Diceros bicornis minor: one gene and its partners. The protein of the gene in region 3 interacts with the protein of the main gene of each other region in a biochemical or structural test. Links are inferred from orthologs where the notes say so. Each region holds a gene or a part of one and is shown on either strand. Other genes may lie near its edges. The genes, in order: tripartite motif-containing protein 5-like, HLTF and UBE2N.

Evidence for each region.
Region 1: the proteins of UBE2N (region 3) and tripartite motif-containing protein 5-like form a complex in vitro, tested with the Homo sapiens proteins (2 studies listed by BioGRID, with this or other methods). The link is inferred for Diceros bicornis minor from reciprocal best matches to the Homo sapiens genes UBE2N and TRIM5.
Region 2: the proteins of UBE2N (region 3) and HLTF form a complex in vitro, tested with the Homo sapiens proteins (2 studies listed by BioGRID, with this or other methods). The link is inferred for Diceros bicornis minor from reciprocal best matches to the Homo sapiens genes UBE2N and HLTF.

What each region holds. Positions count from the first base shown.
Region 1 is NC_080746.1:62,437,131-62,440,878, forward strand, and holds the start of tripartite motif-containing protein 5-like, read left to right. Parts: upstream 1-1,084; 5' UTR 1,085-1,336; intron 1,337-3,748.
Region 2 is NC_080741.1:5,870,254-5,874,001, reverse strand, and holds the start of HLTF (helicase-like transcription factor), read right to left. Parts: upstream 2,505-3,748; 5' UTR 2,467-2,504; coding exon 2,444-2,466; intron 1,390-2,443; coding exon 1,182-1,389; intron 1-1,181. UniProt on the Homo sapiens protein: Has both helicase and E3 ubiquitin ligase activities. Possesses intrinsic ATP-dependent nucleosome-remodeling activity; This activity may be required for transcriptional activation or repression of specific target promoters.
Region 3 is NC_080764.1:28,473,814-28,477,561, reverse strand, and holds the start of UBE2N (ubiquitin-conjugating enzyme E2 N), read right to left. Parts: upstream 2,979-3,748; 5' UTR 2,576-2,978; coding exon 2,546-2,575; intron 1-2,545. UniProt on the Homo sapiens protein: The UBE2V1-UBE2N and UBE2V2-UBE2N heterodimers catalyze the synthesis of non-canonical 'Lys-63'-linked polyubiquitin chains. This type of polyubiquitination does not lead to protein degradation by the proteasome.

The DNA of each region.
Region 1 (3,748 bases), on a different chromosome or scaffold from region 3:
GAGCATTACCACTCCTATAACATCCTCCTTGTACCCTTAACTCCCCCAAGTCTTTTTTAGGCATACATCTTTTGAAATAGTGCAGTTCGTCTGTGTCATTATCATTACCACTATCAGAGTTCATCTGTGCCACTTAACACAGGGTTTTAGAATTGTTTCATTACTATATTAATCAGGATTCTTGAGAGAAACAGAACCAATATGATATATATATATGTATAGGCTCAAGTGACTATGGAGGCTGAGAACTTCCAGGATCTGCCATCTGCAAGCTGGAGACCCAGAAGAGCAAATGGTTTAATCAGTGGGGACTGTAATCAGTAGGGACTGATATGAAGGCTTGAGAACCAGGGCATCCAATGATGCTAGTCCTAGTCCAAGAGCAGGAGAAGACCTATGCCTCAGCTCAAAGAGGCAAGCAGGAAGCAAAAGGGGCAGATTCACTCTTCCTCCCCCTTTTTTTTTATCCAGGCCCACAAGGGGTTGGAGGATGACCACCCACATTGGGGAGAACAATATAGTTTACTGAGTACACAGATTTAAATGCTAACCTGGAAATAACACCCTCTTAGACACATCCAGAGGTAATGTTTGATCTGGGCACCTTCTGAACACTCAAGTTGTCATGTAAAATTCGTCATCACAATTATTTTCCTGCATTATTTTTATTATGCTAACATATAGACATTATATTTTAAATAGTATTAGATTACATTACCCAACAAATGACACTTCATACAGTTTCATCTTCCCAGTCTATTTAGGAAAAGTCTCATTTTGGCCATACTGAATCCAGATTCTAAAAGTCAGTATCACTGTGTTTCCACTGGGATAGCCTGTCTGAGTGACCACCTGAGATAATTTCAGATTTGGATAGCCATTCCCTCTCACATGACCTGATAGGTCCAATAGCTGGTGGATGCAGGACAGGAGAGTATGCAGGTATGGCTGTTTCAGGTGAGCTTTCAGATGGGTTCTCACTGATGTAAGGGGGTTACTTCATTCTCTCCTTGTGACAACTCATTTGCAAGTAAACAAGACAAGGTGGATGTGTGTATAATTCCATTGCCTAGGTAAGCCTTGTGCTCCAAAAGATGAATTACCTTAAAAGCCATGAAACAGCTTCCAGGACCAGAACTGACGTACGGATAAAAATGTAGTCACTGGCCCATCTGGCCCAGGCACAAAAGTCTTGTCATTTCCCAGGGGCTTGAGGTAGAAGCCTCCCATTGGTCCATAGATTCTCTTCTTCTTTTCTGCCGTCCCCCAAGAATTTAACTTTCATTTTCACTTGGCTCCTCTCCATCTTCTTCGTGCAGCTCAGGCCCCTGGTTTGGTAAGTAAATCCTGACCACCTCTGTACCTGGCCTGGCTTCCTCTTCTGAAAAGTGGCACAACTACTACATTGCTGTCTGAAGGTCAGTTGAGTAGTTTGTAGATGGTAGGGATTGGGAGACTTCAGAGGAAAAAATTGAATTTGCTTGAGTGAGTTTAATTTGTCTTCAGGAAGCTGTTCTGAAGGCGGAAAAAGGCCCAATTTGCAGGCTTCCCACTGAGAGTGCTGACTGAAGTGCAGTCTGGGGGAGGGCTGGTCTCTAAAGAAGAGAGAGTTGATGAAGTAAAAGGCTTTATTTGTTTCATGGAGGGACAATTGTTTCTCCAATCTGAATTTACCCACATCTACAGAGTCTATAATTTTGAATTGTACCTTGTTGAACAGGCAGACTCCTAGAGTTTTCAGAGGTAGAAAGTCCCTTTCCCCAACAACAGGAGCAAAGGCAAAGGGATCTTTAAATCGTAATAGTTTAATGCCTTAAGTGTAACAATCTACTATTTCTGTATGACTCTGTAGATAAATTCTCATCCCTTGGCCTGTCTGTGCTCAGGAGACTTGATGGGGTGACAGCTGCCAAGCTCTGCAGCCTGTATTTCACTTGTCCAGACACAGGAAATTGCTACAATTCCTTAAAATCACTAACCTTGCTCATCCATCACCTTGGGCTGTATCTGCCACCCAGAAACAGAGCTCAGCTTGAGAGATCAGGAGCAAGAGGAACATGTAGGAAGAATTTGCAAATGTGCTATCTTTGCTCACTTCGATAAACAAAATGAGTTACTTGATTATTGTTAATGATATAAAAAGATGTCACAAAAAGTAGCATGATAACAGGATCCTGAGAAACAGGAAGGAAGGAAGTAAAAGTGAGTCTCTGTGCTTACTGCCCCTTCCTAAAGAACGTACAGCTGCACTCACCTTGCTCAGGCATGTGGAAGACACCAGTCAAATCTCTTTTCTCACCCTGACTTCCCCTCACGTGAAATACTCGTACTTTATCAGAGTTGGCTTTGGAGACTGTCACCTCTGCTACATATTCTTGTCTTCCTCTCAGGCATAAGTCAGTGTTAGGCACCTGTCTTCTGAACTCATACAGTACACCTCTGTCATGCCAGTTATTGCAGGGATTTAGAATTGATTTGTTACTTTTATGCTTCAGTTTTTATTTTGGTAGTATTATAAAGAGTTTATATTAAATAGTATTAGATGGTTACCTGCAATAAAAACATAGCCGAATTTCTTTTTTCCATTCTATTTAGGAAAAGTGACTCTTTCCCATATAACATTGGTAAATTAGGGCTTCATCATGTTTAGAGAAATAGTTTTATTCCAATCACAAAAGAAGAAAGTTATGCTATATCCTTATCGTTAGACCGTTTACATAGCTATTGTCTTTTAATGTGTTTTTTGCTTGTCTTTAGCTGTCACCTCTGGGATGTTTCGGATTTTTATTCTCATGAGCTCAGATGTCAGAAGACAAATGTGTAAGGTGCAATCACCTGACACCTATGGCAGCCAACTGACCTGGGAGTTCTATCAGACTCACAGCTCATGTTCCCATATCTATCTCCCTCATTGCTGTGGAGCCCTTGGGTCACTGCTTAGGTAGAGGTGAGATCATCCTCCATGGGCGAGGATTCTAGCTCCTCTGTATATTGCCATTCTGTGTCGATTGTGGCAGCAGGTGCTTTGACATTAGCTCCTTGTAGCCCCACTGTGAAAATAAATTCCATAACACCTTGGCATAAACCATGCTCTGCTCCTCCCTCCTCTATGGGTTCTTGAGGCATCTCAGCTTTGGTTGGATCTTGAATGGGATGAGAAATAATTGGAGGCCCCACGCCCATGTTTGGATAGCTTGAGTCAGAAACATGGGTAGACGTTATCATATAATGTCTACATTTGGTATAATATCCACCTTTGATCTTGCTATTCATAATGGCCTGATCTGGGCCATAGTCTCTGCGGCCAGATGCCAACTGCATATGACCTCTGGGCTTTTTTTAGTATCTGTACTATTAGCTGGATTATACTTTCGGTTCACCTTCAGCCTTGTTATTTATCAGGTTTCCTTCAGGTATGATGAGCATGACACAAGTAGACACTTTTAGTGGGTCTAAATTTTTCTCCATGCAGTCTTTATAGCTTTTCCCTCCCTTTTTCTGGACAAAGGGAAAACTTACTGGTTGTCTCATAGTGACCCTTCTCTTATCATCAAACTTTAGCAACTGTCAAGACATTAATAACTACTGAGACCCTCTCTTTCTTTGTTTATTGCTGCATAGCTCCATTTGCCTGGAGCTGCTGATAGAACTCCTGAATGTAGACGGTGGCCACAGGGTCATATTGAGCCCAGGTTGGGAAATAAGCATCACTGTATTACCACTCTGTGATACCCCCTCTGACTGACCA
Region 2 (3,748 bases), on a different chromosome or scaffold from region 3:
CTCCTGCTTCAGACAACCAAAACATGATTTGAGAAAGCTTCAACATGAGAATAATATGGGGGAATGGAAGAACTGACAAATCCAGAACTTCCCATCAAACAACAGATGTAGTTTCTGCAACAAATCAATGACATGAAACAAGCAGGGGAGCGGGTGACTTGTGGGATGTAACAACTAAAGGTAATACATGAACTCTCTTTTGATCCTGATTCGAAAAAAAATGAACTATAAAAAGATATTTTTAAACAATCAAGAAAACTGATTATGGATTAGCTATTAGATGTAACAAGGAATTATTACTAATTTTTAGTATGAAAATTACACGTAAAAATGTTTGAAATTTTTTAGAGATACAAACTGAATTACATGGGTATAGAGTGATACGGTCAGGATTTTTAGAACAAAAGAAAAAGTGATGAAGCAAACGCACAAAAACTTAACTGCTGAATCTGGATCATAGGTATATGGGAGTTTACTGTATTATTCTACTCATGTATGTTTGAAATTTTTCATAATAAATTAAAAAAATAAAACTAGAGGTATATGATCCAGATACACAGAGGCATACTAGACAACTATACAAAGACAACTATTGATCAGGTCTCTCAGTCTCTAGGTCTCTCTCATGCACACACACACACCGCAGAGAATATACATAGAGAAAGATAGGAAGAAAAACTGCAAGACAGGTAGTCTTACTACAGAAAGAAAAAAGGACCTAAAAATAGACAATTCTCTTATCTAATAGGAGTTGACCTCCTAAATTAAAAATACTAAAGTGTAGAAATGTGCTGAGGGGTAGAAGAGGAGAAAGCAACAGACTGACTTGGAAGTTATTTTGCAAATGTACCAGTCTCTGTGCTTTCTGGGCAAATTATTTAACCCGCCTGAGCTTTAGTTCTTCAGGTACAGGAGGGGGATAGAAGACGTCCTAATCTACCTCAGAGTCACTGCAGTGATCTAATGAGACCATACAGGAAAAAGTGCTTTGCATATTGTAAGCATGATGTAAACATAAAAGAATATCAATCATTAGGTGTCTGTTTCCTCTTGCCCAGATGTATCTCAATTACTTAAAGTAAAATAAATATTAACTGCACATGTCATCTTCTAATTCTTATTTTCTAGGCTAATATCATAAACACATCACATTTTAACTTAACATCTAATGTCATACTCACTACTCCTGTGTAATAGCGTAGTCCAACTACATGACCTCGCAGAGTTCCAAATAAAACTGAATCGAGCTCTTCATCACTAGTCAGGAAGTCATCTGGAGGAATAATATCTTGGAATTCAAAACGGGGAAAGAAAGTTGGATATGACAGGCGTGGAAAATTTCCGGGGACTCCATATTGGACAGTCTGCAAGTACTTCCAAACAGGATCTCTGTCAAAAAAAAAAAAAAAAAGGACACACTAAAATAACACAATATTTAACCAAATTTTTCTCAAAGACCATACCATATTTATCGGCCAATTATCTTACCACACTTTATGTCAACAAATTACACCTTACGTGGGAACCGCTGCATCGAGACTTACAGCGAGTTATCCCGGTGAAAGCGGGAACTGGAGCGAGCGGAGGGTTTCCAGTAGCCCCACCCGTTCAGCGACGCCTCTCCACCCACGGGGATTCAAAACGAGAACCCCAGCAAGGGTTCCCAAGTCTCTCTCCTAGCGACGATCGTCTACCGAAGCTGAGACGTACGCGACGTCTGCAACTTCAGTTACACGCCAAAACGTCATGAGGGGCTGCGCGAGAAGAGACTTGCAAATGCAGGACCACTTTCACACCTGCAGCCGAGCCCGTCCCTGCTGACGACACAGCCAGCACCCACGGCGGCGATTCCCTCCGAGCAGCACGGTCGTTCCACTCACGCATCCCACCACCGCACCGAGCGAAGTCGGCCCCAAGCCCCCCACCCGCGCCCGTTTAAGGGGAACCGCAATCCCGCTGCGGACAACGGTCTCAGGAACGGGCAGGCGAGCCAACCTGGACCCCGAAGAGTCCGGGGTCGCTTCCGCCGCCTCGGAACCGAGAGAAGCTGTTCCGCCCCGTCGCGCGCCCCTCTCCGACTCCTCCGCAAACACCCCCCCGCACGTCCGAGCGCGCGCACGACCGGCCGCCAGCGGGGAAGGGGCCCGCCCCCGGCCCTCTACCGGGCCAGCGCCCAGCGCACGGGCATCCGCCGGCCGCTCGTCGCATAAGGCGCAGGTGGAGACGCGGCTGAGGGGCCCAGGCCCCGCCCCTGACTGACCTCCCCACGGCCCCGCACCGGCCGCCGAGGAGCCTCCCCTCGCCAGCCCACACTCGGCTGCTCTCGCTCCCGCGGCTGCGAGCCCCAGCAGCACCGGGCCGCGGAGCGAACGCGGGGAAGGTCAGGTTCATGTGGGGACGCCGCCGGGCCGTTACCCTCGGCGCCCCACCCCGCCCCCTTCACCTCTTGAACATCCAGGAGGACATGGCGCTGCGTGGGTGACGAGGGCAACGCCGGGGCGCCCGCGATCGTTCTCGAGCCGCCTCGACACGCCTCCTTCCGGGCCTAGCGGGCGAGAAGCCGAGGACCGGTTTGGGGCGCCGGAGGATGGACGAGCTAGCGGGAGGCGAGACGCCGCGAGCCCAGTCAGACGTCGACGCCGTCTCCTTCCAGCAACAATCTGGGAGCCCAGCGGCGCTTTGTGACTGGCACGGGGGACGTCCAATCGCGAGAAGGGAACCTACGGAGACGAACCAATCAGAGCACGGAACGGAGGGCAACTACGCCCCGCGCACAGATTCAAAGACCGTGGGGGGTCCCGGCTGCACCGGCGGTTCCATCCGGGTTCTTCCCCGCCCCCAAGATGGGCGCGCGGGAAAGGCGCGGGAGTGCGGGAGTGCGACCGCTGCGCCCGCGGGTCTGCGTGTTCTGTGCGAGTCCCTGCCTCAAACAGAGGGAGACGACTCTCCTGTCGGCTGCTTCCGCCGAGCCCCAAGCCTCAGCCTCGTTCTTCAGCCCTACCTCAGCTCGCCTCTAATTTTCTCCTCATCTGATGTGACATGTGATAGGGTCTTCCGCTGGCTTGCGAGCCCGCAGCTACCACCTTCATTTCCTGTGGTGAACCCGGGCAGCTGGCGTCAAAATACTCATTTTCGCCAGCGAATCCACGAGACACACCGAGTTCAGAGGAGCTTCCTTGGCGTTCAGATTTATGGAGTCCCCCCGCCCTCTTTTTTTCAAGGAAATTTTTCATTTCTAGCGAAGCCGCAAACTGCGACGCCAGCGCACTAACGCTGCTGGGGAGCGCTGCCCCGGCACGTGCTGCCCTCAGGGGCCGCCCGGGCGCCCAGGCCTCCGCGGCCGGCCTCTGAGGGTCTGAGGAGGGGAGCAGCGCTCGGCTGGCGTCGGTCGGCCACGGCCGTCCGTGCGGCCCGGGAGCCGGGAAGGGGCGGCTGCCGACTGAGCGGCCGTGCCCGGCGCGGCGGCGGCGCCGGGGAGCACGCGGAGCGGTCCCCGGAGACGGGCGCGTCCCAGAGCAAGGGCGGCCGTGGCTGTGAGCGACGCTGACACGTGCCCGGGGCGGAGCGGCCCATTTCCACTCCCGGCGGCAGTGCGAGGTGCGCAGTGCAACAGGGTTTCGAGAGGCGTCTGTTCCTCCTCTTCAGCTGCCGTGATCTGTACGCGTGGACCCGCAGCGGGATGCGAAATCGAATCCGCAGCAATTTGTTACTTCATTGCACTAGACAGAAGGAGGTGGTGACGAAGGTG
Region 3 (3,748 bases):
GAGGGAAATGTGTCAGATTCAGCATATACTTCGAAAGTAGAGCCTAGAGAATTTGCTACTGGACTGGAAATAAAAATCTGAGTGGGACAGCAACGGGGTGAATTCAAAAAAATCACCTTATATTTGAATAGTCATTTACAATTGTCAAGGTACTTTTACATACATTATGTCATTTCATAATAACAAGAGGCAGGAGAAGGTCACTCTGAGTTAACATCCAAGTTCTGCCTCTTGCCAGCTTCAAGACCCTAGGAAAGTTGTTTGAATGTGTTTCCAGACTGTAAATGTATTGTCTACTTCACAAGATTACTGCAGGTATCAAGTGGCTCAAGAACTCTGCAAATGTAAATAGTAACCATTTTGAGGTGGCCAGCATCATGTTAATAGTTGTCCATTGATGGTATGGTGTATTCCTATCATTCTGGACAGTAGAGCTACCATACCACCACCACCACAACTATATTCCACATAGGACCCTGTAATAGTGGTTGACAGAGAAGACCCAACCTTTTTTTAAAAATTCTGACACAAAAAATAAACATTTTCACTGATTATGGAAAAACCTACATAATATAACAGGGGCACTAGAAAAAACAGTATAATCTTTTAATCCTTCCTAGGGATTGGAGAAAACAGTTCTATAAATGGTATTACAGTAAAACCACCTAACTTTTACAAGATAAAACCCAAATCAAGGCATCTTTCATTAGAGAGATGCTATCAACAAAATACTGTAAAATTAAGATTATATATGAGTTATCACTGTCTTGGTTTAAATAGTAAGATGCAAATGCCTAGTGTAAACTAAACTATTGTGTGCCAAATGAACTGAATTATAAGAACAACTTATTGCCTTAATTTCTGTAAGTTTATAAAAACAAGATCCCACAGAATTTATTTTTCTATTCAAGGCTTTCATATTACTGCAGAATATCTCCAAAATCAAGCAAAAATGGAAAAATTCATCTTAAATCTTTAGTTCATTATGTATTTTGGAGAATTATCTTGAATGTCAATTTGTGTTATGTACTTAGTCAATCACCTGACTAGAAGTCAATAAAAATTAAGAGAATATCTGGCATACAGCTCTATCCTCCACCCCTCAGTTTCAACTGGGGCCTCGATAAACATGACCATTAGGGCCACGTAACTGCATTATAACTAAAACCACATTTTAAGGATCTTCCAATGCATACAGCAATTAAACTGCCTTGGCCAGAGTCCGAGATAAATCCACTAATATAACAAATTTGGCACTATGAAGAACCACATTAGACTCCAGCACCCAATGACAATCTGTTCTACTTCTCTAATTTCTAAGAATATCCATCTTACAAATGGTCTTATTTCTCTAAATCAAGCACCTTAAGGCAGAGACACCTCCATCTCACACATATTTACCTACAACTGCACGAAACAATACACAATACATCAGCCTTCAACAGGTTTTCACTGAGTATGCACCTCCCCCCAAACTTTAGAAGAACAAACTAGATTAAATATACGCTCAACACATTATATCCAGCAAAATGATGCTGCAATTTAGTCACTTGAACTCGCATATTGAGGGACACAGAGTTCAACTGATTTCCTTCACTAAAATTGACAAAAAACTTCAAAGCTTTGTTTTTGAGTATTGCAAGAAACATTTCACATCGGAGGACTCGATATTATGTAAAGAATTCACAAAATAAAGATGTCACATTTTTCATGATTCTATATGTAATGGTTAAAGCGCACAAAATCGAGAGGCAAAAGATTTCACAGGGTCTCCCATACCTGCGCCCTCACCCCCACCCCCGGTCTTGTGTTAAACTATTTGCTCTGAACAGGAGCTCTGAACCAGTCTACCAACCAGAGTAAAATCACTTCGCGGAGATAACGAGCGGAAACGTATCTAAGGAAACGAGCTCGCGGAAGCGAGGGCAGCGGGGCGCGGAGCCCCCACATCCCCGGACCCGCATGTGTCGACGGCGGCAGGACGCGCGGCCCTCCCGGAGCCGCCTCCCGGGGCACAGGGCCCCGCCCGGCCTCACTCGCCCGGTTCATTCATTCTGAACGCGGGGCTGCCGCATCCCCGCGCTCCCGCTCGGGCCGAGAGGGGGCTCCGGGGCCGAGGGGCCGTGCCGGGCCACAACCCCCACCCCGAGTCGGGGCCCCGCCACGATTCCCGCGCGCCCGCGGCCTCCGCCCGGGGGTGGTCTGAGAGGCCGCCGAGGCCCGCGCCGGCCCGCGCCCAAGACCGGAGCCCCGCAACCCCGGCCCCACCCTCCGCCAGAGCGCAGGCCAGGCCTTCCCTGCTCGCGGGGCAGCCGCCTGGAAGCCCCGGGTCCCCGCCGCCGGGCTGCCCCACCGCGGCCGGAAGTCTCCCCGGCGCCCCCTCCCCAGCGCCCGACTTCCCTCGCCGCCGCGGCCAGACCCTCTCCGCGCTGCCTCGGGCCTCCCAGCGCGGGCCGCGGGCCGCAGGCAGCGAGGGGCTGCGCCGCCCGGTCTGCCGAGAGCGCACGAGCAGAGCGGGCAGCCGGAGGCCGGCCTGGGCGGTTACCTTGATGATCCTGCGGGGCAGCCCGGCCATCTTGTCAGATCCCGAGTTCGGCCTCTGGTCTTGTCTCCGCTCCGCTCGCCTCACGCACGAGTGGAAGTCCCGGGCTCCACTTCCGGGGGACGTTGCCGCGCCCGCCGCCGCCGCCGCCGCCGCCCAGGCCCCTCGGGAAATGTAGTCCCGGCTCGGGCGGGCTTCCCTCGGACCTGGCCCCCTCCCCCGCGCTCCCCGCCCCAGCCCCGGCCCGAGGGGGCGGAAGTGACGCGCCGCGGCGGGGCAGGGACTTGGGGGAGGTGGCGCGGGGCTCCGCCGGTCTTGGCCGAGCGGGCCGCGCGATGGTGGGACTGGGCTGCCGGCGCCCCTCAGACTTCTTATCCACGGCCACGCCCGCGCCGGTGGGCGACGTAACAGAGGCCCGGCCGCCGACGTAGCCCATTCCTTCGTTAGTGCGATCGTTCATTCATTCAACGTTCCTGCATTGCGCGCGGTCGGAGCTGGTGCTGCAGGGAACGACTGCGGTCAAGTTGATCCGCTGGCTCCTGACTCAAAGAGAGGAGAAGACCGAAACTCGGTAGCAAAGCTCCTGTGGGTCTCGAAAGTTAGCCAGGGAAAACCCTAGCCAGAGAGTTTTGATCTTCAAATTTCGGAAAAATCAAGCCTCTGACACACCCCTTAGGCCCGGGAAAGGCTAAAAGAAAAGAGCTTGGAGAGTTGGGGGCGGGGAAGAAGAATGGCTTCTGGACTCAGTGGTTGAAACGGCAGAGTCCTTAGCTGGAGGAATGACCAAGGAGAGGATTGGAGAGCCCAGAGTAATCCGGGAAAGAGGGATAACCCACAGAGCGCGGGGCCCTAAAGGAAGATTAGAGTGGGGATGCCCGAAAATAGGATTTGGGGAAGCATTTCGTGACATCCTGGTGATTGATTGCTTGCTGTGTGATGGGCTCACTGCAGTTACTATTTTACTTCATCTTCACAGCAATCTTAAGAAGGTGTTGCCTCCGCCTTTACAAATGAGGCTCAGAGACGCTAACTTGTTTCAAGGTTATGCAGGAGGTGGAGCTGTTTTGTCCTCGGGCAGGTCTCCCAAAACATGGACCCCTTAACTACTTAAGCACAGTGTTTCCAAACACAGTAGCACAGACAGTAGATGGTGAATGAAGATGTGCCAGATGCTGTATTAGGGGATGAGAATACAAAGAGGCTGAC